Oreochromis niloticus: one gene and its partners. The protein of the gene in region 2 interacts with the protein of the main gene of each other region in a biochemical or structural test. Links are inferred from orthologs where the notes say so. Each region holds a gene or a part of one and is shown on either strand. Other genes may lie near its edges. The genes, in order: atm, atr, chek2 and atrip.

Region 1 (6,960 bases), on a different chromosome or scaffold from region 2:
TCTAAGAGATAGGAAACTCAAATATGCCCTTCTTAAAACAAAGTGGTTGGATGGTCTTCATCAAGGTGAAGAAGAGCATCTCAAAATGTGCAAGACGTCAAACCTTAAAGCAGATGGGCTACAGCAGCAGAAGACGAACCAGAAAGGAAGGTGTACCTAACAAAGGGTTTGTGAGTGTAGCCTGGCCTCCGACCACTATTAACCACAAACACTGGAAATCAACATTTAAAATTAAGTTTCTAAAAGAAGAACCTGTGTCCTGTGTCTTGGCTCCTTTGGGGTGGTGGACACAAATCTGTAGGTTGAAGAACTCCACAATCTCCTCTTTGAGAGCTGGACTGGGCCTCATGTCTGCCCAGACGTACAGTATGGAAGGCAGAAGCTCCTCTCCCAGTCGACACAGCCTCATCCTACAATTCATGGCTGCAGATCTCAAGAAGATGTTCAGAGCTGAGACAAGGTGCTCCAAAACAGCCAAGTGTTTCTCCTGCCTGATACGATTGATACGAAGAATGCATAGTGTTTAAATTTAGCGACTAATACCGGAACATTTATTCAACGCAAATCTAAAACGGTGTTAAAAGTTTTCACCTGACATTAAGCAGTGCTTTGGAGAAAAAGCTGAACAGCGTGTCATTGAATCCATCGGTCTGCATGCAGCAGCCCTGCACCACCGTGTGGATCACTCTGCTCACCAAAACGCGGTTGATGGGTCTGGACGAGGAGTTGAACAAACCACAGTACAAGTCCAAAAGATCTAAGGATCAAGAATAAACACAGATCCATCAATTCTTACTTTTGTCTGCTTCCTCATGTTTATAAAATAAAACTCCAAATAGCCCACTGACTATGCCACTGTTGTGGAGCGATGTCACACCAGTACTTGCGGACAGAGAGGATGTCCTTTACAAGGAGGCTGCTATAATCTTCTCCATAGGCTGAACAGCAGTACGAACTCTGCAGAACCTCCAGCACATGTTTCAGCAGCTCACTGCACTTCAGACGAGGCCCGCCTGGAGGAAGAAGAGGACACTCTTAACTGCAGTCCCCACAGTTCATTCAATATTTTTTCTACTGTGTCTGATGAATTAATGAAAGATACTTATAAATATAAAGATACATGAATGTTCCCTAATTTATTACGACATACATTCACCCAAAACATATTGCAACCTGCTCCTGCTCTTACGTTTGTTAGCACAGCGAATGAAGTATTTGATCAGGCTGCATATTTCAGCCATCTTCTTCTGCCGCGTGGCCAGCGTGGTTGCCGTGACGTTGGATTTGCTTGATTGCATGCTTTCCGTCTCCTTTTGGACATAGCGCTGCAGAAACCTGATGCAAGAAATGCCAAGCAGAATAAAGAGCATTCATTTATAGAAGCCACTTGTTCCGGTACATGGGCTAACTTTAGCTAAAATCATTTATGAGTTACGAGCATGTTGCAGAATATGAAATAAGAGCAAATACTTATTTAAGAACTTTTCAAAAGATGCAAAAAGGTAGAAAATAGTCCCTTCTCTGGAAACACCTTATAGATATATACATTTTGTATTTATATGGTTGCAAATACTCTGATGCAGGTTACCTGAAAACAGCATCCCATGTGAGTTGCTTGGAAGCTTTTGCTTTAGCTGATGAGTTACGATCGAGTTCTTGCACAATCTCTGGAGATCGAAGGAGCCGTCTGAAGTGCTCAGCTTCTTTCTGATAATAATTACGAGATGAAATAAAAAGCATTTACAACGCATTGATTAAAAAAACATTAAAATCAATTCAGGTTTATTTAATTATGGACAATTCCCCACAAAATTCACTTCAAAGCTCTTTATACTGTAAGTTAAAGACCCAACGGTATTGGAGAAAACCCCAACAATCAAGCGACCCAATACGAGCAGGCACTTAGCGAGGGTGGGATGAAAACCCCCCATTTTAACAGGAAGAACCAGGATTTGAAATTCTGTTCAATAAATACGCATAATGTGTCACAACTGAGAACTTGTGGGGCTATACAGACCATTAACATACCAAGATGACTGGCAGATCCTATTTTGTTTTTGTTGCTACTCGTGCCAGGAAAGTAAATAAACCTTTATTTAGAAAAATTACTGATTTTAGAGTCTTTCAGCTATTCATCGCACTGCCTTTGTACACTTATAAAGTGCAAAATTGATGTGGTGCAAGCCACAGGCAAATTGCATCTTATTTGCAAGTGGGCAGGACAGATGCTGATGCTCAGCAGATGTATAAGCGATGCAATCTGAGCTTCTGACTGAGTTCAATATTTTACAGTAAGAAGAGCCCTGATTTGAAGGTAGTAACTAAAAGAAGTGAATTAAAGGATAACTGTGGTTGTTACTGGTGTTGGGCTGCTTTGCCATGATAACTGGACAACAGTGTTAGTTATCCTCTGTTATTTTAAAATAAGCTAAATAGGGAGTTGTTTAACCTATTTAAAGTACATTGAATCGCCTATGAATTCATTTATTTGGACAACTGATAGGCAGTAGTTCGTCTTTTTCACCTTCCTCTCTGTAGCTTTGTCATTCTCGAGTGCTCTGCAGCAGGCCAGGAGATCATGAAGAGCCAGGCTCATTGTGCCTCACCGTGGATGTACACACTGGAGGGACAGGATGTTGACAAAAGTTGTTACTCATCCGCTTTATACCTACACTATTATTACTTAGTAGACATTGTAGATTTCTACCATTCGACCCACACTTTATTCACTGCTTCACTGCTCATGCAAACTACTTTAGCAACACGAAACTGGCAGATTAAGCTTTTAACTTCATTCACAAATGTCCATTCAAACACCTGCGCTGTTCACTGACCTCAGATGACTGCAGTGATTGCAGTTGCGGAGTTGTCACACTTGCAGGTGCAGATGTTAGCTGAGTTAAGGCACACCGCTACTGTACCTGCCATGACAACTTTGCCATCTTGTAGAGCCACACGCACGCACGCACACGTAACCCACGCATAAAATATTCCCGCCCCAGCAGCAAGGCTCAACTGCTCACATCACTTCCTTCTTATGCCTGGTATTGAGTGAGTCCATTCACTTTTCTATCAGCATGAAAATAAACCTAATGTTTTTAATAGGTATTGTGTTATTGAAGTGGTATACGACATGCTGAAGTCACGTTCAACCTATAAATTACAGTATATATATGTAAGACACTATAGAACGTTATCCAGATTGACTTTTTCTATTTGGACTACAACTACCACAATTCTAATCGATAGCTTGGTCTTGGTACTTCCGGGTTATACGTGCTTGAGTTCCCCGCCTTTTGAGTATAGAAGCAGTATTGTGAAGACGTCGCCTTCACAATAATATCACTGACGTGGTTTCATTTCAGACAGTTTTTCGAGCTTCTCGGAGACTTTTCCTGAACATGGAGTTACCTTTTCACATTTGAGGCCGCTTTTACCAACAAGTAGTCGGTCATGTTGCTACCGTCTGACGTCGCTCGGCTTGTTTTGGGTAAGTCTGGTCGTCCATAGCAGACGAGTAGCTGTGGGGTTAGCCAGCAATGACAGTCGAGTGTAAATGGGTAGCTTTAGTCTCACAGCCTTAACGGTTGATTGGGCTGCAGTTGGAGGGTAACTGTTACTGCTGACTAAGGTGCTACTAATGTCCTTCCGCTAGGGTACCTCCAAGAAGAGGGGCTGTCAGCTACAAGCCAAGCTTTCATTCATGAGAGCCCCAACCTGAAAGAGTATGCCGAGCACACCACAGGAGATGGGACTATTCCTGCTTGCGTTTTTGTAAGTGTGCCTTCCTCCCTCTTGTAAGCCGCCTCCACAGCCTGAACTGTCATGATGGCAGCTGACTGCATTTCTGTTTAATCTTTCCTCACACAGTCCATCTTTGGGAAGAGCCTGACGACCATTTTAAATGAGTATGTAGCTGCTAAAACAAAAGGTAAGCCATCCAGAGGATGTCTTTAGTATTTTATAACCGATTATTGTTCATATGTCATGGTTTTGTTGCTGATGATTACTCATATTTTCAACAGAGTCTTGTCATGAGGTTCCCGTCGTGATGACTTCATTGTGGAAAAAGCTGGATTTTACACTCAACCAGATTAAGTAATGAGCTTCACTAATAATTGTGTGATAGCATAGGATGCATTGGGCTGATTTTGAAAAATGATTTCATATCGTTTTCTATTGTTGATTGGTATGTTGTTGTGAGACGAATCATAAACATCTGCTGCTGTGTTTCTCAATGCTAAAACTTGGTGCAGTGAATTAATATGTGAATATTTTTCTGCATCTTTCCTTAGGTCATTGCAGAATTCCCCTGCTATATCAGCATGTCAGAGAAGTAAGTTTGTCAGGTTGTTTGTTGTTATGTAATGGGCTAATACGTGGTGATGTAGCCGAAAGCATCAGGTTTAATGCATTGATGCATTTATGTAGAAATATACCTATAACGTAGGAACAGAAACTGTTTGAAAAGGGACTTCCCTAATCATGAGCTTATTGTGATTATAGTTGCCTGTTCCTAAAACCTCAGGAACTGGCATGTTACCCAATTAACTTCTGAATTGTCTATACATCAAATTGGGAAATTGGCACCATGATTACTTACAGTTGTCAAACAGTGCCTCAGCGTTCAGGTTTTATATGTAACCTATTTACTTATCAGCTTCTGTGTGTTGCAGCACGTTCACGTGTTGGATTGGCAAACATGGCTAGACAGCGGGTCCTTGCCGTGGCTTCTGCGGGTGGTGTTGTCTGTTCATCGGTTTCTGAGACGAGCACCATCATCAGCCCAGCGCACACCTCCCACAGCATGCTTGCCCACTCCACCCCAGTGTGCTACAGTGGTCTGAACAGCAGACCAGCATCTGGCAGTGGCACAAGCCAGCATATTCATGACAGCAGCCGATTAATGACTACACCCAGTCAGTAATATAACACACAACTGAGTACAAATGCTAAAGTAAAGTGATGCTAAGATCACAGCTTTTTAAGGAGATAGCAACGCTCTATGAGCTCATTATTCATTTAATGCACACATACTAACTAAGTATTAAATGTAGTTTTTAATAATAAATATTCAAACTTGTTCATTACAGGGGATTCACCCGTGCAGATCATTGTTTCAGAGCATCGGCTAAATCCAGGCCCAATGTCTCCTGGTCGAAGGAAATGGTAAGAATAGTTGTTAATGCTTTACTATAGGTGTTATTACATAAACATCTGTCCAGAGTGCTAAAGACAGACTAATCTAAAGTGGATGGAAAAATTAGCTTTCATTGTACACAAATTGTGCATGGACCTTGCTGTTACAATGACTTTACAGTACCACTGAGTAAACCTTTCGCATTGCAGAAAATGTGACTAATGATTGCAGAAACAACAAACATGTACTTGGTGTGTTGCATAATCCAGAATGTTAATGATTCAGTAGCTTTTCTTGCTAAGGATTCGTCAAACTTCACAGGGTGTTTACCGTAAAATGAGAGTTGTGATCCTGAGCACAAAAAAAATACATCAGTTGGGGATTGTGTTGATTCAGTTCTGACCAATCTAGAAGGAGTAGTGATCCTTCTGAACTGTGGATGGAGAGGACATCAGATGCCATGTCATAAACTAATCGGTCCTTTGGCTGGTTGAGCTAAAAAAAAATGCTGATTGTAGTGAATTTCACATGACATTAATCAGTCACAAGACTGTGTCACTGTTTATCTAAATGACTCAATATCAGTATGTTGTTCCTTAATGTGTGTACACACTGGAAGCAGTCCGCAGTGATATAGCCATCAGAGACCATAGAAAGTGATATTTGGCGACTTCAAGGGACTGCGACGAAAAGAACATGCTTTTGATGCAAAGTGGGCAGGACCGCCGATAACCATGTGTACTCAACCTGGAATGTTGTCTGTGCTGGGTCACCCCAACTTGATTGATTAATTAGATCTTCAGCATGTGATATTTCTGTTTAACAGTGACTTTATTGTGCTGTTATTGTTATTCCCATGGTTTGTTTAAAATGTTTTTCTGTTGTCTTCAGGGACACCCCCAGGAAGAGAAGTGGTGCTCTGAGTGGCTCCAGTGCCCCTGGCAGATCTGCTACACCTGCTGGCAGCAGCAGTGCAGAACCCCAACCTGAAGAGGTTGTTGATGAAAACTTCCCTGTAAGTATGTCAGTAATGCTAGGTTTCCTAATCACAGAGACAAGTTAAAGACTACACTTCAATCACATATTAACAAATCCACTGACATTGTTGTTTAAAACCTTGTTGATCTGCTGAATGGTCATATATCACTATGTGTCTCTAGATACAAAGAAAAATTACTTTATTGCATCAGAAATGACATACTCTCTGTTTCATCTCACTCTTTACAGCAGCTTGTGATACAAAACGCACGTGACAAGATACTGGGTGACAGGTCATTACAAGAGAAGCTTGCTGAAAACATCAACAAAATCCTTGCAAAGTAATTAACGCAACAGGACTCTTCATTTTGTGTGCACTTGGATGTATTGTGCACAGTTTTTGATAATGACTGTGCTGTTTCCTACTCTGTTTCATCACTACTATCAGTGAGCCAGTGCCCCAAACATCAAAGGGTTCTTCAAGTACAGTGGAGACAGACCAGTCTATAGATGAAATACTAGGATTACAGGTGATTTATTTTTCTTTTTTCCTAAAATTTAGCTTGTAGTGTTTTCACTTTTTCTGTGTAATTTACCAGTATTCACTCACGTATACAGGGGGAAATTCATATGAGTGACGACGCCATCCATGACATTTTGGAGCAAACTGAGTCCGACCCAGCTTTTCAGGCTCTCTTTGACCTCTTTGACTGCAGTAACTATGACCTCATTTACTTTAATGTCTTTTCCTTTAAATAATGGTTCGCAACTGTCTGTAACAGTTTAACTAAAGAACTATTGTAAGACTTTTTATAAATTTATGTTTGCAGATAAAACTAAAT
Region 2 (7,798 bases):
TCACCATGGAGGCCTTCCTCAGCCTGGTGTTCCCGTTGGCCAGGATGAAGCATGCAGCCTCCCAGGCTAAACTCAGGTCACGACGGGAGATGACTCCCCGCAGAGACTCAGTTATGATGTCGATCGTTATGGCAGTCAGCGACTCCAAGGCAGCAGGTGAGGAGAGCACAAGGGCAGAGGGGGTGAGGTATGAGGAGGCACAGAGGGGGGATAAACTGAAGCACTTGAGGTTTACAGGCCACTGGCTCTTTGTGTGAATCTCCAAAACATGTCCCTGTCCTCCAAGTGTGCAAATATGTGCATACAGGTTATGGCTGAGTTCCTGGCACAGAAATATGAGTTCCTGAATGAGGCAATTAAAGATAAATGGTGCCCGGACTCTCAGAGTGTGAAGTAAAGAGCACAACACAGCAGAGACCCGTCCATGGATGATATCACAGCCTGGAGCTGCTGCCACACGAAGGAAACGCACCGCCACCCACTTACTGAAGTCTAAAATCAAGACAAGGAATGAGAAGATATTAAAGGAGAAAGGAAAGAGGAAAACATGTTCATTTTTTTTCTAATTTCTGAAATCACTTATGGCAGCATTTTGAGAAGAATTTCCTACCAGTGCAGCTCTGTGTGGTGTCTGGGTATTCAGCAGGCTGACAGGCAGGGTTGGCAAACATCAGAGATGAAGATTTAACTATGTGCTGCACGAAGTCCAGCAGCATCACACAGGCTGGCTCTGAGCTGGACTTCTTATTTAGCCCTAAAGCAACTGGAAGAAAAGACAACCGTTTTGTTCAAAGAGCTGGTACACATACAGAGGATAAGTCAAATATTCTTGCAATATTAACTTGAAAAGTCACTAAATGATAAAAAGCTTAAAGAAAGACACTGATTTAAACTCCAGGTACAATATTTATTCAAAAGAATCTGAGAAGCCAAGAGTTAATTACCAAGTAAACTACTGGAGATCATAAATTTATACAACAGCAGCAAGAAGACAGAAGCAGACACAGGTTTATATTAGTTGTACTTTTCCTATCTGTAGTCACACCCGATGTGCCCTCTTTGTGTTTTGGAACTCCTAACACAGACTGGGTTTCTGTTTGCCGAACAAACACCTGCCAGCAATGTGAACTGCTGTTATATCACCTTCATATTGCAAAGGGGAAGTTACAGGTGCAGGTGTAGAGTAAGGGGCAAGATTCATGCAAGTGGGGGGAAGACAAAAACTAATATGGTTTATAACAAACTCTGCGTACTAAATGTAATAAAGGTAAAGATAAAGGAATTTAAGGAATAAAGGAAGCATGTCTGATGTGCACACATGAGCTTGTTAGGGTTTAAACCTGCTTACTTTTTTGTGACATTTTCATATTTCATATCATCAAACACATTTTAATATTAGACAAAGATAACCTGATTAAATTCAAAGTGTAGTTCTTAAATTTTGATTTCATTAAATAAGAGAAAGAAAAGCTACCGAAACCTACCTGGCCCTGACTGAAACAGTAATTCCTCCCTTTTTAAATCATGAATTAATTGTGATTTACCACATTGGTTGAAAGCTCAATTTAATTTCACAAGTAACACCCAGACGTGATTACTGCCAGGCTTGTTGAATCAAGAAATGCCTTAAATAGAACCTATCTGAGGTGAAGTAGGTTAAAAGAACTGTCTGGAAAGGGTTACAAAACCATTTCTAAGGCTTTGAGACTCCAGTGATCCACGGATTTTAACAGTGGAAAACATTCCCAGGAGTAGACAGCCTATCAAAATTGCTCAGAGAGTGCATCAACAACTCATCCATTAAGTCACAAAAGAACCAAGAATAATGTTCAGTGATCCCACACCCACCAGGAAGTCTTAAGTGCTTAAAAAAAACCCCATAAAGATCAAAATGAAAGTTCTGCAGCGGCCTAGTCAAAGTCCAGGCTTAAATCTAATTTAAATGCTTTGGCATGACCTTAAACAGACCGCTCATGCTTGAAAAACTTCCAATATGGCTGATCTTATGTGAAAGACTTGTTGCAACTTATCACCATCACTTGACTGCAGTTCTTCCTGTTAAGGTTGGCACAACCAGTTATTAGGTTTAGGGGGCAGTTACTTTTTCACAAAGGTTTGGATAGTTTTTTTCCTATTTTTATAATAATAATAATAATTATTATTATTATTATTATTATTATTATTATTAGTAGTAGTAGTAGTAGTAGTAGTATTATCAGTATTATTATTTTACAGGAGTTTTTCAGGAATTCATAACCTGCATGTTACATTTACTCAGGCTATCTCTATTTTTAAAATTTGTCTGATGATCTGAAACATGCAAGTGTGACAAATATACAAAAAAAGAAAGAAAAAGAAATCAGCACAGTATATTAGCAAGGGGAAATAGCAGTCATTGTAAGCAACAACTTAAGGGAATGTGTCAGCAGATAAGTCTGACAGTGTACACCAAAAAGCTGTTTGTTTGTTTTTTACTGATGTCCTTTCAGAGGCTTTTATTATGGTGACCACCCCAAGTAAGTGTCGATAACACCGCCTTACCGACATCCACATCTGTCAGTATCCTGTCGATGAACTGGCAGAGAATCTGTCGAGGTTTCTGTACCACCTGGTCGTACTCTGCAGCGCTCGCACTGCAAACATCAGCACGATGTTATTCACAGAGACATGATGAAGCAACGGTTTTTATCGACTTCAATAAGTAAAGACGAGGACTCACTTTAGCCCAAATGACTGGTACTGTTAACTACTTAGCTCTTAGCCAACTTTAGCCGTGTACTCACCTAGCTAGCTCCTGAAGAGCCGGTATCATCGCAGACATTTCCAGACCTTCCATTTTTAAACTTTGTATGTCCCTGTTCGATAAAACTCTTTAATACATTAATATATGGCTCTATCTAATCATTTTTAACCAGTACACATCTCCACGTCTCCTTCTGCCTGTCAAGTCTTTCCAAAACTTTCGCTCCAAAATGACGTTTCTGTTTTGATACGGAAGCCAGCGAGGGTCTATAAGCTCAAACAAAAAGCAAACTAGTAAGAGCTTCCTCTGGTCGTTAAAGTAACGTTAAAGTATGTCTTTTACGGCAGGAAAAAATATGTAAAAAAAAAAAATTTTTTTTAATTGTTAATAGTAAAAGTACCACAGGCCCATAGTAAATGTCTTACAATGTAGGCAGGGTAAAAATATACACAACAGTGATTTTTTTTTTCAAAGGAGAAGTAAAAAGGTGAAATAAAAAAATCTAACTGAGACTGTGCAAAGGAGTAGTGCAATTGCAGTAGTAAATAATGTGTAAAAAGAGGGTATAATACAAGATATATAATGTAAATATTTGTGAAACTGTGTATGCCTGCCTACAACTGTGTTACTTTACTATTCATGAGGCAATGTTGTATTTTGTGATTAGAGTTTAATGTATGTCTTAATTAAGTTGCTAAATTTAAAATTACAGTAGAATTTCTTAAATCAGTTAAATGGTATTTATATAGTACAAGTCACAACAAAAGTCACATCAAAACACTTTATATTGCAAGGTAAAGAACCTACAATAACAAGAGAAACACAAGTGTTTCTGTTCCTTTATTCACCATGCAGCTTTTTGAAACAAGATGTATAAGATGCTTCCCCTTATCTAAAGGGGAGACTGAAACATATTAGAAAATTGGTAAAAAATAAATAGATAAATATCAAGTAATGTCAGATTATTGTCACCTCCCATCTTTCAAGTATTTTTAACCTTAAAGTTTTCAGTTATGCCCATTTTTAGAAGCTATGTAGAAAATCCAGATTTTTGCTTTTGATGGCTTTTGATTCAATTATATTTCATGCACTTCTGAACTAATATACATGTTATAACCAATTTGCTCTTTACTTCTGAAGTCCAGAAGGAATTTGTATTTTGATACACAAAACATTCACAGGTATTTCGTACATTTAACAGATTCTCTTTATTAATTAAATAGCAATATTTAATGAACAACATTTACAGACATAAAATGTATTTGATAGAACAGATGTGTGTATAATTCTGCTTTTTCTTCTGCTGGATCTCTGGCTCATATTGCAGAAGAAGTAAATAGAATGGGTTAAGTATAATAAAGCAAAGAACAATATTCCATAAAATCACGTATAAAAGAAAGAATTATCTTTATTGATGGAAAATGATATACAGCTTTTTTTTCTTGCAAACGAATAATAGACAATGCTAGACTGTTTTTGTTTTGTACGCACGGCGAGGTTAAAACTCAAAGTAAAGGAATAAAAATAATTTTTTAAAAGTAAAATACAAATATATTTTTTCATCTTCATTCAGTGTTGTTTGTACCCACTTCAGGGTTTGGCTTTCTTCATACCATGCCCCATGAGGCAGGCAAACACAGTCATCACCATCTTGGGATTGACCTCCACCAAATCGTCAGGCAGAGCGTAGACACGAGCGCCAATCTTACGAGCCAATGAGATTGCATACCTGGCAGCAGCACAGAAGGAGAGAGGAGTAAGGAAATTATAAAAGAGCGAAAAATCCAAAGTGGTTGGGAGTTTAAAAAAGTTTATTTCTTACTTGGCATTGTTGATTTTATCATCTTTCTTCAGCACTCCATTTTCTCCTCTTGCTACCACGTGGAACTTGACCATTCCCGGAGCGATTACATCGATCAGGTCAATCACTGGCAGGCTGGTGCTGATCAGCTTGTCCTGCAAAAAACAGGCAAAAAGGGGTTTAAAGCACACAGTCTTTTGATATCAAACCATTTCACAAACAAAGATACACACCTTGAAGCTGCTGATTTGTGTGTCCTTTCCATTCTGGCTCAGCATCTTGTTGACCCAGTCCAGGATGATTTGATCTACCACCCTCTCTCCATCACCCAAATCGGACAAAACCTGAACTGTGTACCTGGAGGATTGTAAGAAGTAAAGGTAACTGAAACTATACAATGAGCAGCAGCGCCAAACCACGGACTGTCTGTTTTCACCAAACAATGTACTATAGCAAGCAAAACATCCTGCAGCTCTGCGTGCACATACCTCCTCATCAGCTGCCAGACCAGCCCTAAGGTGTGTACACGACTCCCCTCGTTTAGATTTACTCCTCCAATTCCAACCAGGGAGAAGCGGGCAACATTCCTGCCCAGGTCCACAGCATAGTTACAGTTTTCCAGCTGGGATACAGGGAAAAAAACAAAAAACAACATTGCATCTCTCATATTTCCCACTGCTGTGCGTTTCCTGTCATCATCACTGTGCTCTGCTTGTTAGCATGTAGTACCTTCTTCATATTGGCCCCCAGCGCAGGATAAGGAGGGCGGTTGACTTTCTTCCAGTCCACAGGCACATTGACCTTATCATAAAGCTGCAGAATCACCAAGCCGTCACACAGGTCACTGGAAAAAAACAATGACACAGATAATTGATTTCAATAGAAGAAGAAGAAAAAATGACCACCACTGAGAACACTTAGAGCATGTCCTCTCTATTTTTATTGAATTATGGAGTTTTAGCAGTCTTAGAGGGAGCTCATGTTTTACTGTGCTTTAAAGCTAATAAATAATAATAATAACACTTATAATTAGATAAGGGATTTATTATTTTCAAACTATATTTTCAATGCTGTCTGCATGAGGAAAGCATTAAAATTTAAGATTAAAGCTAAGCCCATATCTTACTCTTGTGGAGTCTTCAGTAGAATGTTATATGAGGACACTCATGCTAATCATTAAATGAAGCTGAACCTTGATTTACAGGTCCATTCACCCTAAATAACTGATATGGTCAACATGATTATGTATAACTGATGACATACTGGTAAAGATGGTGCACATGTGGAGAAACACCCAGAGAGTTCATCCAGTTGCGAAATGTTTTTTCTTCTCTGGTCTCCTCTGGAATTATATGAAGACATCATACATGTTATCATACAGCTGACTTCATCTATAGTCTAGACGTCAAACACTCAAGAACCTATTATCATCTCTGGCTTTTTATTGGTCTATGGCACGTATAACTAGCATAGCATTACGTCTGTTTTCTGCATGCTGATTTTATGGCTAATATGCCTCTGTGTACTGTACAGTTCAGCATTTTATGATTCTGTCGTGTAATTGTAAGGCCAAGATGTAGTGGTGAATATATCTCACTCTCTATGTGCTCTAAATTGCCTCCGTTCATCAGAAACTTCTGCAGACCGGGGTGCATGTTGAACAGGTTGGCCACGAAGGCCATGTTCAGTTTGCTGTTTCCAGATGTGACATCACGAGCAGTAACAAACTGCCTGCAGTCCAGTTTGGCTGCCTGCTGCAGCATCAGCTCAGCCCTTTTCTCCAAATCCCACTCCTTCACAACAAACACACACACAGACATGTATGCATAGAAGAACAGACACTATGTGGATATAATCATATCAGAATTTGAAGAAAACTGGTTAAAATGACAGAAAGAAGTGTTGATCTTTACATTTAGCTTCATTTATTAGTTTCTCACTGTTATGTGAACATTTTTTGGCTCACATTGAGGCCGCTCATGTCAATTTTTATCTTCATTTGGAATTCATCCTCCTCACAGGAAGTGATCTGATCCATCAGGTGGAAGTAGGCCCGTGAGTCCTTCGGTGGGAGAGTACAAGATGGGGTTACACTCATGACACTGTGTATTCACATGTATGTGTATTTGTTCTGCACGGTACCTTGATGTCTTCGCTGAAGTTGCTGATTGTTTCCGTTCCTGCGTTGCGTAGATGATAGTTGACCCAGCGGAGCAGCAACTCGTCAGGGGGGAGAGACATTAGGTGCTCCAGTGATTCTCCATCTTCTAGAAGGGCAATCAAACCTAAAAACACATAACAGCAGTTAATCAACTGTTAAAGCAAGAAAGAGGAAATTAATCGGGGCGATCGGGGCTCAAGAGTTGGCAGCTCGTCTTGTAATCGGAAGGTTGCCGGTTCGAGCCCCGGCTCCGACAGTCTCGATTGTTGTGTCCTTGGGCAAGACACTTCACCTGTTGCCTACTGGTGGTGGTCAGAGGGCCCGGTGGCGCCAGTGTCTGGCAGCCTTGCCTCTGTCAGTGCACCCCAGGGCGGCTGTGGCTACAATGTAGCTTGCCATCACCAGTGTGTGAATGGGTGGATGACTGAATGTGTAAAGTGCTTTGGGGTCCTTAGGGACTAAGTAAAGTGCTATACAAATACAGGCCATTTACCATTTAATCAAAAACTGCATTTTTACCTAGAAGCAGCAAGACACTCTCAATTAAAAGTAATACAGTTGTGGTTATGCTGGTCAAAGTAAAGAAGACATGCAAAGGAATGAGCTAATTTGTTACGAAAAAAGCAAAAAAAAATTCAAAGATTTGTAACATATTTTTGTACCTAGAGGCTGTATGATTACAGATAATATAATATAACATATAAAAATAAAATAAAATAAAGCACCAAATGTGTTTTCTGCTTACAGAAAAGAAATATATAATCACAAACACTTTCAAATTATTTTCTTTTCTTTTTTTAAAATTGTCAGATGGTTCAATAAACGCTCATTTAAAAAAATGTTTTCTGGCGATTATTTCATGGTTCAGGCTTGTAGGGGTTAAACCCCAGTGTACTGAGCTCCGACGAAGACTCTGTTATACAGTTTTGACCTAACAAGCTCCACTGTTTTGCCTTAATTTTTACATTTCAAACCTCTCCTTTGAACTGCATCACACATGGGTGAGTGCTGTAAATGTGAAGTTGTGTGTGTGCATGCAGGTGTGCACTGACCTTGGTTCCTGCTGATTTCTATGTCAGCAAAGAGGCCAATC
Region 3 (6,904 bases), on a different chromosome or scaffold from region 2:
GGCTGATGGCTGTGTGTGTCTGCAGGTACTGACCGGATGGAGGAGTGGGCGTGGCTTGCCATCTTGTTCAGGTAATCGGATGCCACCTGAGCATTTTGCCTCATCGTCATGACGACCTGAGACTCCGCCGACTTCAGACCGCTGTTCTCAGCCCGCAGAGAATCAACCTCGGCCTCAAACACACACACACACACGCTGATACACACAGCCAGCAGATTATCGATAATCGATGATTCATTCTCCATCTCACCTGCAGCTGCTGTAGCTCCGCCTTCAGTTTGGAAACGGCATTCTCCGCTTTCACCGCTCGCCTCTAACACGGACAGACGTAGAGCATTTTTACACACAATCACACACCTGTTCATGCAAACACTGTGTGTGTGTGTTTGTGTGTGTGTACCGTCATCAGGTGGAGGTTCTGCTCCACAGAGTGAACCATGCTCTCCAGGTCCTGGGCCTCCTTCTCCTCCTGACGCCTCCTCTGCAGCAGCTCCTCCGAGAGCTGCGACGCCCTGGGAGACAGGGGCATGCTGGGTAAATGATTGGTCAGCGACATGGCGGCTCTGTCCTGTGATTGGTTGGTACAAACCTGCGTTCATTCACTTCTGCTCTCCTCTGCAGCTCCCTGACGGTCCTCCTCAGCGCTGCGTTCTCCTCCTTCAGCTGAGACAGAACAGGAGCTTGTTAACACCCCTGTTCTGCTTTGTCCCACGCTCCCTGAACTAAGCGCTCCGTGGTTGGGTTACCTGTTGCGTCTGGCTGCTCCTGGTACTCCTCCTCCTGCAGGAGGTGGCTGACTCAGCCATTGAGGTCTCATCATCTCCTTCATAGTTCTCTCCTCCTCCTCCTGCACCTCTGCCTGCAGCTTCTTCAGGTTTGGAGGAGAACCTGGTGACACAGGTGAAGGTGACCTCACGGCAGGTGGAGTTTCATCTGCACAGAAGCTGCTCGGAGGTCTTTACGCCCCGCACTTCATCAGACTCACCTGGTCTCCTCCTCTTCTTCTTCCTCCTCTGTGCACAGGGAGGAGGTGCTGTCAACGCCTGACTGGAAGCTCCGCCCCCACTCCTCCTCCTCCTCCTCCTGATGAGACAGACAGAGGCTGTGTGCGGCGGGTCGGGTGTATCCTTCGTGGTCCACGCTATCCCAAGATTCACTGCGAATCTGAGGTTGAAAAAATGTTTTGGAAAAAATGGCGGACGGTCAAAGGGAAGCGGTCCAGAAACGGACGAATGTTAGCATAATGAAGAATGTGAAAACACGTTAAACTCAGCTAACCTTCAGCTAAGTTACTTGACGTTAGCGATATCTAACATGGCTCGGGTCGTACGAGCTTTGGTCGGTTTGTCGCTGTGAAGCCAAACGTACGTCAACGTTTACAGTGAGCAGACGTTCAGGCTGTAAGCCAAGTGTATTTACGGGGACCAAACATCTGGCCCATGGACTGTGCTGAGGACACAGACTCAACCATGCTGCACTGAAGTTCTCATCCTGTATAAGCTACTACTGATAAGACAGACAGACCGTGTGCTTAGAGGAGAAAACTGTGTGTGTTTCATCTGTTAACAGATATTTGATCAAGTTTTCTGCCTTTGTTGTTAACGGCCACGGTTGAGTCCAGAGTCAGGAGAGAGGAGACGGCACAGAGGCTCTCCACCCCTGATGATACACCGGGACATCGTGTGAGGAGGAGGAGGAGGCAGCAGCAGCTGAGACATGCAGAGGATGATCTCTACAGTCGGTGGAAACACTGAAACAGTTTCTAGATATTTGCTTCGTGTATTTGCAGAAGCATGTCCAACACAAACTGTACCAGCTGCATGCAGGGACGCGCTCGCTGATGTTTATCCTGCAGGACAGACAGAATACAGGGAACTACACACAGCTCTGATTGGTCCACAGTGTATTTAGTTCAAATATTGTTTGTTGCACAGTTTTCTCTCCAATAAATAAATATCCATGTATCAGTTCATGTTCATGTTATGTGAAACATACAAAGGATCACATGTTTAAATGTGACTTTCAGACTGTGGCTGCAGTTTATTTATATTTGTCTTCGAGACAGTCGCAGGGATTCAATTTGAACTGAAATGTACGGAATTATATTCCATAACCAACGCACTGCTACAGTTTCATGCTATCGTGGGTAGGCAGAGCCTAAAGAAGCACGGGCTCCCGGTGTGATTGGTCCTTTTCATGGACACTTCAGGTTACACTGTGGCAGCAACAGAAACGCTGTTTTAAACTGTGCAGCCGTGGAAATACTGACACCTGTCAGTGGGTTGTTGATGTCGAAGCATGGAGGAGGGGCCTAAGGGAACATGTGTCACCATTCTACAGCCATTCCCCAACCCTCTGTGAGTGGGACTCATCAGTGGGTTAGAGTGGGCCATTCTGCTGTGTCAGTCGTTATGCAGATGTCCTGTTTATAAGGTTGGAACCTGCAGTCAGCTGACACTGAAGGAGTCAGCTGATGATGATGAAACTCCCACTGAAAACGTCCAGATGAACACAACCAGCTTTTTGGGATTTCCTAACCTGGATGACTGAGCGTGCATCAAGGCAAGGCCACGGCTCTAGCTGCTACTGTCGCAGTTGCTAGGCAACAGGAACTGCTTGTCCACTTTAACAGGTCTGTACTTCTGGTGTTCGTGACCTTGGAAGGACCCGCCCTACGTAGACCGTGTAGGTCCTTCCAAGGATGCAACCCCTGAATGTGGACACAGCCACAGGGCGTTCCAAAGCGTCTCCTATCCCCTAACCTCTTTTCCTTGACCCCGGTGAGGACTCAGGAAAAGAGAAAAGTGGTATGCTGAGAATTGGAACGACCTCACACTTGTGTCTGCTTAACAGCGTGACGCCGGATCCCCAAAGTGTTGAAACTACAACAAGCAGAAGCTGGACTACAAAACGCACATCTGACTCCATGCCGTGCTATAACCTCATTGGTTTGTGGAGGTCGTTCAGAGGAGGAGGAGCAGGTAGGGTCAGATGACGTCACAGAGCACAAACACGTGTTGTGTCACTGCAGATGCTCAGAGTGGGTCTGTGCTCACAGCTGTGACACGCGTGTGTTTGTGATGGAGTCACTGTTTTCTGCAGATTTTGAGAAACAGCAGCTGATCTCAGGTCATCTCTGCTGTTTCATGAGAACAGTTACTCAGCAGCATGAAGTGGGCTGAACACTCAGCGTGGGACCGATGGACGGTTTGAGGACAGAGCCAGAGTCTGAGCTGTGAGTCGATTACACGCTCGGCCCACAGCGATCACATCCATGACCGCCACAGCACAGCAGTTTGAAGTTTGTGTCACTCTTTTAAATATGCACATGTACACGCATGTCACAGCTGTGAGCACAGACCTGCTCTGTGTTTGTGCTCACTGCTTTACCGGAGGACAGAGGTGCACCTCCAGCTGTGCAGCTCTGACCTCAGTGCGTGCCTGCTCCGGGTCCGGGTCCTGGCTCTTCCAGCGCAGAAACTCTCTGAAGGAGAACGGGTTGAGCTCCTCTGCCTCCTCCTTCACCTCCTCCACCTCCTCATCTGCACACACAGAACAGCTGGAGCTGTGACGGAGGCTCACATGGAGACTGCAGACCTCCCCCCCGACACTCACCGTCTGTGATGATCAGAGTCTTGCTGCCTCTTTGTTTAGACATGTCGGACTCGCAGACAGACACGTGGCTCGCTCCGCCCCCTGGCTTCCGTTCACGTATCGATCATAACTATCGATCAGCCTCTGAATCCTCTCTGCCGGACCAAACCAAACCCGGAAACACCAGCTGACGGCTCCCGGTGCACGTGATCCACATTCCGACTTATCATTGGCTGGAACTACTTCCTGACGTCAGAGAAAAAAATAGGCCACAAGGAAGCGCGTGTCCCGCAGGGTCCCGGTCAAGAAATCGAACCACGTGTCGCGGTTCGTGGATGCGGTTCGTGGACGCGCAGAGACCCGGATGCTGGTTCTGGCTCGGCTGAGTGCAGAGAAGAAGGCGCGCGGAGACTGACAGCACCGGCGGGGTTCCGGTTTCACGGTGAGTGGGAGTCTCGGACACGCGGTCTGTGTTTGCTGCCACAGTGGGGCGTGGGGATGTTGCACTGTGTGCTCTGGGGCCACGACGAGCCCACGGATGTCCAAGATCCTGTGGCTAGTGATGGGTAGATGAGGCCTCGTGAAGCGTTTCAGCACATTCCCCAAACTGTATTGATACTGTGTCGACACAGTGTTGCTGTTTTGCTCCATACTGACACCTGCTGGACCGTAAATATCATTGCAGGGAACTTACTTGAGACTCACAACAGACACTGATTCAATGACCTAGTCATACTTGTACACTGTAAGGTATTGTACTTTCCATGGAATCATTTTATATCTTTTACGTTTCAAATATTGTAGACATCTTTAAAATATGTTGTGAATGACACTAAGTGAAAATTAAAATGAAAGTATTGTGAATGTAATAATAAATTTGAGTCAGAGTTTATTATAAAATTCTATTCAGAAAAATAAGTTTATTCAGTGTTTTTGCATTCAGTCTATTTCTTTGCAAACTCCTTTGACATTCAGTCTATTGCGTTTTTTTGACCCCATTTCCCCAGCTTTGGAAAACTCACAGGCACAGATGAAGCTGGGGTACAAAAACTGTAAAGCCAGGTGGAAAAGGTTCTGATAAGATGTCTTCCTATTCCCCCAGTACGTTAAAGGATCCTCTGATCTTGGAATGTTTCTGTCCGACACTCTCCACAATACTAAGGGGTTGGAAGTCCTTTATAATAAAATTCAGGACTGTCTGGTCCAGAACAGTCTTCCTAGATGCTTGATTTCAAAATAATAAAACACATATTAATAAAAAAAAATGATGATAAAGCTGTTCAGTGTCAATATAGGCTGACCTGTGTTCATTCTCAGTGTGTTTGTCTCCTCATTTTCATGTTTGGCTCTGTAATGCCTAAACACTGAGGATAGATTACACTGAAACAAAGACAGACAAACTATTACCTTATTTGCGGTTAAAAGATCAAAATGATCCCACACAGCAGAAACATTTCTTTTTCTTTCGGGCTCCATTTTGTTATGGAGAGATGTGTTTTGTTTTTTGTTTTTTTAATCTTTGCGAGAGTAATTTTGTGGGGGTTTTTTTGTTTTTTTTTTGTGGCGTCTCGTTCCGTTGACAGACGCGGATGCGGTACTTTTTAAACACAGTTTGGCGCGTTGGCAATGAGCAATACAGCAGCTGTATCGATCACGTGACTTTTTCTTAAAGCGACTCACGCACCGATACAGGCTTCGCTAGGTGAGCTTGATACATGTGTCGGTGCGTCAGTGTTGCAGGACCCATCACTACCTGTGGCAGAAACCCAAACTCTTCTTCTCTTGTTCTTGATTTTGTCTCTCATGTGTCTGCAGAGCTGAAGGATGTCTGAAGAGGGGCCACCTCAGTCCCAAACCCAGTCCACTCTGTCCCCGTCCCAGGCCAAGTCCCAGTCCCAGTCCCAGCCTGGTTCCAGTTCATCCAGTGGGCCCACCTCAGCCAGTCAGTCGTCAAGTGGCTCGGGGACTCTGAGCAGCGTGGACACCATCCCCGTAACGCTCGCGTCCGTCCCAGAGGAGCCCGAGCCGCAACCCTGGGGCCGCCTACTGCCCATGGTCCCAGGCTTCAGGAGCCACGGTACCGCTGCTCACAACACGCCGACGCGCTGGCTAGTTCTCCATTCACTCTGTTCTTAATCAGATTCCACTAAACTGAACATATTGTGCTGTGTCTGGAATTAGTAATTACTAGAATTAGCAGCAGAATTAGCATTATCAGCCAGCCGAGCTCCCCTGTTCCATACTTTAAACAACACATGAAGTAATCAGGATACTTCTGTTCAGCAGACAGTGCTTCAGGTGTGACTGATCTTTAGACTGTAGATAAAAGATGGACATGGCATCCTGGTTTTTCAACTCCTCTTCCTTTTTCGAGCATGGAGTGACCAGAGGATGAGCTAGCTGCTGCTGCTAATTAGCATCCAAATAAAATCCCGGAATTGCAGGTTTTGTAATTCCACTGGGTGGGGGGTGGGGGGTGGGTTGCCGAGAAGACTGCATAGAGGAGCACTTCCTGTTTGTTTGTTTGTTTGTTTGTTTACAGACTGCATAGAGGACCAGTACCTGTTTGGACGGGACTCCAGGTGTAACTACGTCCTGGAGGATCCAAATGACCGAAATTCCAGAAAGTTTAGAATCTACAGCAAGAAACACTTCAGGATCTACAGAGTGAGACTACTGCAGTACTACTACCACTGATATTAGCACTGATCGTACTGTGAGTACTGCGCTCACGGGGCTTTAACGTCGCCCTCTCCACCTGTGTGTGTCAGGAGGGCTCGGAGGTCTTCGTGGAGGACCTCAGTAATAATGGCACTTTTCTCGATGGGATTCCGATCGGGAAAGACAAGAAGCTTCCTCTGGTCAATAACGCCGTCATCTCTCTGGCTGAACAACGAAACCGAGGTGATTCCGCCCACCAGAGCAGCACCTGAAAACACCTGGACACCCTGGCGCCGGTCTCACCTCCTGCTCCTGTCTCTCTGCAGTGTTTGTCTTCATCGACCTGATGTCGGACGATCAGTCCAGCTTACCCAGAGACCTACAAGAGAAATACTTACTGACCCGACGCATTGGCATGTGAGTTGTTTCGTGGCGTTGTGATGTCATTTCCTGTGCCGGTACCACCCTGCTGACTGTGTGTGTTTCAGAGGAGTGTGTGGCGAGGTCCGGCTGGCTTTCGAGCGATCCACCTGCAGGAAGTTTGCAGTGAAAATCATAAACAAGAAGAACTTTCAGTCTGAAGGGGTGAGTCGCGTCATCTGCTCTCTGATTGGCTGAGACCCGCTGCTCGTTTCTTTCGACTGCGTGT
Region 4 (7,089 bases), on a different chromosome or scaffold from region 2:
ACGTTTCAAATGCCCACTGGCTTTTGGTTACATAGAGGAGCAGATTCTGTGCCAGATGAAGATCCAAAACACTTTTCTTAACGTGATAAAGAAAAAATAACAGGAACAGATGAGATGGAATTCACACCTTTTCAATTCTGGACTGGGAAGATAAAATTGCATGTGGTTTATCTTGTTAAATAACTGCCTTTAAAAAGAATACTACCCTCACAGGAACTGTGTAGACATAAGCATAATGCTTTCTGAACACTGACAGTGATATATTTATTCTCCATCTCGTATATGAAATTAGTTTTTATGATATTTCAAGAAATACTACAACAGATTAGGGTTTTTTTTATAGAAGGAAAACACTGAAAAGGTACTTTAATGTGCTGCTTGCATGAATATCAAAAAATAATTGAATTTGCTTCAGCTACTCCTGAAAGCAGCTCCCTGAGTTTTAGATAAAAGAATGAAATGTGACATTTAACACATGTAGGACAGTTATTACACTGGTTTCCAAGTAATTTTAGAACAGATTTCAAAATCTGAATGCTTGCTCTTAAAGATCCTGCACAATCTTCATCTTCATGAACTATGAATCAGCTCCACCACTTGGGTTATTTTCCAGGTGTCTCCTACTACTACCTCTACTACTACTACTGAAGACATTATAACCTTTATGCTACTGCAATAACCTACAAAATCCTAATAATGGTGTGCCACCATTATCAGTATGTGTTTAGCAGTGCCTTTCAGAAGTCCAGTTACTTATTAATCAATTTCTTTTTGCTTATTGCACTACTTTTACTTTGGGAGTTTTATCAGATTTACAAGGCTACCATGATTCATATTTATTATTTCTACTTGATTTAAGGGCTTAACTTATTATTTTTTCATCTATTGCGGTTTTTATTGCCCTGTTGGTGAGTGCAATTTGTAAAGATTTTATTTATTCAGTTGCTCAAGCCCACCTATGAACTAACCAAAATTGTATCAAATTACATTTTCCATATAGTTTTGTGGCTGCAAAACTGTAATACAGACTTTCTTTGTGTAGCTCATTCTTTATGCAGCTCATTTTGCTTCTACAATGAAAGTGCAAAATATATTTTTTTAAAGTGCTACATAAATAGTTTTTCTTGCTTGAAATTTTCATTTAAATCAATTTAAATCAATGGTAGACTAGAAAGACGAATGAAAAGGAATTAAGCATACTGGAATGTAATTGCCGGTGGAATTAACATTCCACAGCATATTTAAATGTTTAATTCTTCTTCTTCTCCTCTTGGCTGCTTCCTTTAGAGTTTACTCTAACAGATTATCTGCTTCCATCTCAAACCATCCTTAGCATCCTCCTCTTTCACACCAGCCCTCTGCCCATCCTTCACTATATCCACAAAACTTCTCTGTGGTCTCTCTCATTTCCCCTGCCTGGAAGACCCATCTTCAACATCCTTTGTCCAATATATCCACACTTCCTCCTCTGCACACATCCAAACCTTGTTAACCTTGCCTCTCTAACTTTGCCTCCAAACAACTCCACCTGAGCTGCACCTCTGATTTACTCATTTCCAACCTTGTCTATTTTTGTCACTCCCAATGAAAACCTCAACATCTTCCACTTTGACACCTCTAGCATCTCCTGTCTATTTATCAGTGACATCGTTTCCAAACCCTGCCATCTTGTAAACCTTCTATTTCACTCCCGTTCTGATCCTTCTGTTACAAATCACATCTGAAACTCATGTCCGCTCACTCCACCCTTCCTGCACTCTCTACTTCACCTCTCTTGTGCACCGTTCATTGCTTTGAATGAATGACACGAGTTATTTAAAATCATCCACCTTCACCTTTCCACCCGTCTTTCTTTAATTTACACACATAAGGTTCTGATGTTTAATTAAGGGCATATTTTTACATAAATATTGTTAATAACAGTGTAGATTAAAAAAATACAAAATAAATACTCACCCAATGGTTCTCTACTTGGTATCCCCGCATTCTCTCTGTTGCTACTGTTTAAGGAAAATGCATTTTCTCTGCTATGATTAGATGTGGTTTTGTTCACAGGTTTGTTCTGCCCAAAGGAGGATGGCCAGGATGACCCGCGGGCTGGCTCATTCGGTTTGGATCCTGTCCCTGGCTCTACCCCTTCCGAAGCCGACGTGATGGCTTGCGAGGCGATATCATCGATTTCATCTAAAACTTCCTGGGTGAATTCTTCATCATCTCCAAAAGGGTCATCAAAAGCCACTGCTGTCACTACATCCTTGTTCAGGCCACGGAGGCGCTTTGTTGGGGGACAGTTCATGCTGCATGGGGGGAACATATCATTAGCATTGTGAGTAATTCTCATGTATGCATATTCACAAACACTAAGACTAGGCGACTGTGTGGGTCACTTAGGAATAACTAGTATAACTCAAGATAACTATTTTAATCAAAGCCGTACTTTACAATAAAAGCTGATTCATTGAAAGCGCTTCAAGACTACCCCTGAAATAACTTGTGTTAGGTACAACATCAGCTAATAACTTATTAAGCAAAGTCACGTTCAGGAATTGAAAAAAAACCTCAAATCTAACTCAACTCAGGCTAATGTGACTGAAGCAAAAAAAACGCATGTTTCTTTTTTTTTTAAACAAACCTAGCTTAACATGCATGAACACGTACACGTTTCTTCTGACTTTACTGTGTTACCTTGCCTCTGGGTTCTCTGGCTGTCGCTGCTGTCAGCTAAGCTAGCGAAAACTAGCCGTGATTTCCAATGGGGAGTTAGCCTGCTAAGCTACAAAACCTCATTCAGTCAAAACAATATTTGAATTTATTGATTAAAAAGACATAGAGAGTGTCTTAAATAGAACTCCTTTACACGGCGCCCATGAATTAAACTGTGAAATGCTGTATAATATGGTACAACAGCACATAAACAACACAAAACTAAAGTTGACAAAACAGAAGTGTGTCGTTCATCCCGCTCCGGTGTGCCTGATAACGCGACCAATCATAGCACTGCTTTCGCTGTTCGGCCAATCATTGACACCGAATTCTTAAACTGGGTCTTTTACAGGTACCCGTTTGAGACAAACTATACTAAACGCGCAAATTGGTATCCTTAAAGGAGTAGCTACGCATAATAGTGTTCTTGTTAAGGGTGAACTCATGACAGAAGCTTTCCTTAGAACACTGGTTGGAAGTAAGGGAAATACCTTATTATATAGCCCAGAATGTTTTTTCTTCGCCCACGTGTGTGTGTGTGTGCGCGTGTGTGTGTGTGCGCGCGCGCGTCTGAATTGGGGCGGGGGCAGAGACTATTTGGGCTATTTCTTACGTGTAGTACCTTCTTGAGGTGTCTGGTGGTTGCATGGCAACCACATAGTGATAAAAAAAAATCCGTTATCCTGTGTCCAATATCACTGCCTTATTCACCCTTCCCTACATAACATTAAACCAATATTCTTCATCCCCAGTGGAAATTAACATGGGTGTAGTAAGAAAAATGAAATTTGATTCATTAAACGGTGCCCTTGTAACACCCACCACGTTGGCGTGTATAATCTGACATCACCTGCCAGTTTTGTATCCACATCCTATGAATCCCTACATGTACGCTCTCTTCATATAGAAGCTTCTTGTGGCTTCTCAGCAACAGCAAGTGTGCTTTCCATTTTTAGACACAGACAGGTCTGCGTGTCGCAGCTGAGGCTCTACTGTGTGTGCGTGTATGTCTAACTCTGACACATGCTCACTCTACCGCTGCCTCTCTTTCTTTTTCCGCCTCCGTACTTCAGTACAGAAATGGCAGAGCTCAACGACAGGCATCCAGATGCACCCTTCATCCTCATGAGCAGCAGCACCATGACACGCACACACGCGCGCGCGCGCACACACGCAATCACTAGCACAGTGATGCCAGTAACACCAGCATTCAGCACCACTGCAGGTCTCATCTGCACAGATTAATCTCTTCACGTTTTAAAAAGACAATTGAGTAAATTAAGAAAGCAACATAAATACACTCTTTCACACACAAACACATATATTTGGCAGGGAAGCTGGTTACCATAACAACCAAACAGTCAAAGCTGAGAGTGAATCAGATGAAATGAAGCCCACATACAGTACATGTACATGTGACTGCAGAGCAGAAGAGTAACCCTGTGTGTTTTCTTTCCTCTTTTACAACATCCTCTCAAAATCCAGGTGTTTGTTCTGCTCACATTATGGTGGTGTGTGTGTACGTTCTTTGTAATGCACACACCACACCTAAGGTACGAGTTCCATCTTCCAAGAGTGAGACAATGCAATACATTTAATTAAGCATTAAGTAAGGTAAACCCACCTTATTCACTGTCATGCCTGTCAGGTTTTCTGTTCTGCACTGCACACGTGCGATTCACTGTTTGCTTTGTGACATTCAGACGTGGGTGACATTTAAAGAAAGAGCTGAAGGTGCATGTAAAATTGGACACTTTGATGAAAGGGAAGGTAGAGAACATAGAAGGAGAGACCAACAGTGCATGTTTTCGTTCTCACTCATTCTGCATCACTAATGGATTTTACAACTTTGCCACTTAAGACATAATTGATGACGATCCTCGTGAGTGTGAGGGACACTCTGTTGACTTCTCACAGATTCAGCTGCATCATTTAACTTTATTATAGCACACACTGTGAGTGACATGACAGTCAATTTGGGTTCTGCTTTATTCCTTCTTGTCACTTTCTGCATACATTGTGCTTTGCTAGATATTCATTTGTCTGTATGCAACTGCATGACTAGTTCCTTTAGGGTGTTTCTCACCAGTTTCACAGTTTGTTAAAATTATTTTATTTTCATTGTACATCACAGATGAAGCCTGAGATAATAAACTAATACTCTGTAGAAGGGAGAACAACATATCAGCAACACATTATTTTGATATTTATTTTAATTAAGATTTTTAAGGTGTGTACATTTACTGTAATAAAGCTGCTGCTGTGATTTCAGTAAAAGTGACCAAAGACTGACATGTTAAGTTGCTGTCAGATTAAAGGGGTTGATGTGTGAAATGCACTATTACACAAAATCCAGTAAACATAGAGAAAATCAGTTTCTCAGTTGTCACTGTGTAACCATGTTTTAATAATTTGTGTTAAAACAAGAACTGAAAAGGGTTTTCTAATGGCTGCCGAGATCATATTAAGCTGAAAGACAGAGGTCTGAGGTGCATGGATCATTAGGTGGTAAGGTTGCTGACTTTTTTAGAAGTCAGCAACCTTACCGCCTAATGATCCAGTTAGAAGACACAAAAAAAGCACCGGACTGTTTCTGTGCTGCAATGCAGAGATAGCTTGTTCCAGTACAGTAATGGCACCATAATAAATTAATTCCTGAATATTTTGGATGGTATACTAATATTTACAGTTCATGTTTAAGCAAAGATGCATGCCTAAAAGCAAAGCAACAGTGCACTGTACTCTTGTTTTATATTTTTTTAAAGTCAACTCACCACATTTTTTTAGAAAAAGCATTTTCAGATATATTCAATTTGTGGATGTAAATTCTGTCTGTGGCCTGTAAATCCACATGGTTATAGATCTGTTGAATATTTTGTTCAATGATCTTTACAAGTAAGAGAAGTGCACAAGTACACAAACAAAGAAGTCCTGCCACTAGTTATTGCTTCAGTGTTAATTATGATCAACCTATATCTAATAATTGGCCATGTACCACAGGCCTTCAACCTTCAGAATCTAAAACATTGCAGCAAGAGTACTGACAGGGACTAAAAATAAAGAGCATATTTCTCCTATATTGACTTCTTTTCAATGCCTCCCTGTGAAATCCAGGATCAAATTCAAAATCCCGTATAAGGTCTTGAATAATCAGGCCCCATCTTATCTTAATGACCTTATGGTACCGCATCAGAGCACTTTGCTCTCAGATTTCAGGCTTACTTATGGTTCCTAGAGTATTCAAAAGTGGAATGGGAGGCAGAGCCTTCAGCTTTTAGGCCTCTTCTGTGGAACCAGCTTCCAGTTTGGATTCAGGAGACAGACACTCTCGCTACTTTTAAGATTAGGCTTAAAACTTTCGTTTTTCCATATAAAGCATAAAGCCTATAGTTATTTACTCTGCAATAGGTCTATGCTACTGGGGTATTCCAATGATGCACTGGAACCACACATGGCAGATGGCCGCCCCTCTCTGAGCCTGGTTCTGCTGGAGGTGTCTTCCTGTTAAAAGGGAGTTTTTCCTTCCCACTGTCACCAAAGTGGTTACTCATATGAGGTCATATCATTGCTGTTGTTTCTCTGTTTTCTTTGTATTATCACAGGGTCTTTACCTTAAAATATAGAGCGCCTTGAGGTAACTGTTGTTGTCATTTGGTGTTTTATAAATACAACTGATTAAATTGAATGAATAAAGTTTGTTTCATGTGTAACATTCAACGTACATTGCTCGTAATTTAACAGTCACCACAATTTTTATCCGCAATGGAATTTTGTTTGACTAACCACTAAATATCAACTAAGATTTGAAAAACTACCATAGGGCAAAAGCCAAGATACACCCCAGACAGATCGCCAGCCTGTTGCAGGGCTAACACACAGAGACCATTCACACTCACCAATTAATTTAACCACACTAACTATATATCTTTTGTGTGGAAGGAAGCCTGAGTACCTGCAGAAAACCCACACAGACGCAGGGGGGACATGCAAACTCCACACAGACTGGCCTTGGGCAGATTAGACCCCAGGAGTGCCTTTCGTGAGGCAACAGTGCTAACCACCACACCAATGTGCTGCCTACACACTGATTTTCACTTGTAGAATGATGCTTGGATTGAACAGATAAATTGTAGTAAATAATAGCAGGGCAATGCAAAACAAGTAGGCTAAGGCAAAGGACATAACAAGAAAGGGCTAGAATTTTTTGTCAGTTTTGTTTTAGAAAATATCTTCCTCTGTTAATACACTTGGATCAGGATCTGTTCGAGACACTTCCAACACTCTGTCTGACCATTTCTGTAACTTCCTAAAAATTACAATTAACACTCACACCCACTTCACGACTTGATTGGCTATTGTGTGGAGGTGGTGACTGTACGCTGGGTG

Evidence for each region.
Region 1: of the proteins of atr (region 2) and atm, one has a biochemical effect on the other in vitro, tested with the Homo sapiens proteins (2 studies listed by BioGRID, with this or other methods). The link is inferred for Oreochromis niloticus from reciprocal best matches to the Homo sapiens genes ATR and ATM.
Region 3: of the proteins of atr (region 2) and chek2, one has a biochemical effect on the other in vitro, tested with the Homo sapiens proteins (2 studies listed by BioGRID). The link is inferred for Oreochromis niloticus from reciprocal best matches to the Homo sapiens genes ATR and CHEK2.
Region 4: the proteins of atr (region 2) and atrip form a complex in vitro, tested with the Homo sapiens proteins (4 studies listed by BioGRID and IntAct, with this or other methods). The link is inferred for Oreochromis niloticus from reciprocal best matches to the Homo sapiens genes ATR and ATRIP.

The regions. Positions count from the first base shown.
Region 1 is NC_031979.2:14,487,809-14,494,768, reverse strand, and holds the start of atm (serine-protein kinase ATM), read right to left. Parts: upstream 3,002-6,960; 5' UTR 2,835-3,001; intron 2,621-2,834; 5' UTR 2,597-2,620; coding exon 2,525-2,596; intron 1,708-2,524; coding exon 1,589-1,707; intron 1,336-1,588; coding exon 1,190-1,335; intron 1,014-1,189; coding exon 849-1,013; intron 758-848; coding exon 592-757; intron 492-591; coding exon 253-491; intron 1-252. Other genes in the region: protein NPAT, read left to right, coding at 3,454-3,490, 3,656-3,774, 3,871-3,931, 4,026-4,098, 4,296-4,336, 4,677-4,919, 5,094-5,169, 6,032-6,155 and 4 more.
Region 2 is NC_031983.2:20,161,134-20,168,931, forward strand, and holds the start of atr (serine/threonine-protein kinase ATR), read right to left. Parts: upstream 3,002-7,798; 5' UTR 2,837-3,001; coding exon 2,784-2,836; intron 2,634-2,783; coding exon 2,542-2,633; intron 764-2,541; coding exon 611-763; intron 493-610; coding exon 1-492. Other genes in the region: pls1 (plastin-1), read right to left, coding at 4,334-4,472, 4,566-4,699, 4,778-4,901, 5,033-5,166, 5,274-5,388, 5,808-5,886, 6,142-6,337, 6,511-6,606 and 2 more. UniProt on the Homo sapiens protein: Serine/threonine protein kinase which activates checkpoint signaling upon genotoxic stresses such as ionizing radiation (IR), ultraviolet light (UV), or DNA replication stalling, thereby acting as a DNA damage sensor.
Region 3 is NC_031977.2:37,556,285-37,563,188, forward strand, and holds the start of chek2 (serine/threonine-protein kinase Chk2), read left to right. Parts: upstream 1-3,897; 5' UTR 3,898-4,036; intron 4,037-5,409; 5' UTR 5,410-5,418; coding exon 5,419-5,671; intron 5,672-6,136; coding exon 6,137-6,261; intron 6,262-6,365; coding exon 6,366-6,498; intron 6,499-6,581; coding exon 6,582-6,672; intron 6,673-6,743; coding exon 6,744-6,840; intron 6,841-6,904. Other genes in the region: entr1 (endosome-associated-trafficking regulator 1), read right to left, coding at 34-173, 251-313, 401-512, 590-663, 747-888, 986-1,164, 3,391-3,542, 3,616-3,658. UniProt on the Homo sapiens protein: Serine/threonine-protein kinase which is required for checkpoint-mediated cell cycle arrest, activation of DNA repair and apoptosis in response to the presence of DNA double-strand breaks.
Region 4 is NC_031970.2:11,844,771-11,851,859, reverse strand, and holds the start of atrip (ATR-interacting protein), read right to left. Parts: upstream 3,020-7,089; 5' UTR 2,659-3,019; intron 2,298-2,658; 5' UTR 2,297-2,297; coding exon 1,957-2,296; intron 1-1,956. UniProt on the Homo sapiens protein: Required for checkpoint signaling after DNA damage. Required for ATR expression, possibly by stabilizing the protein.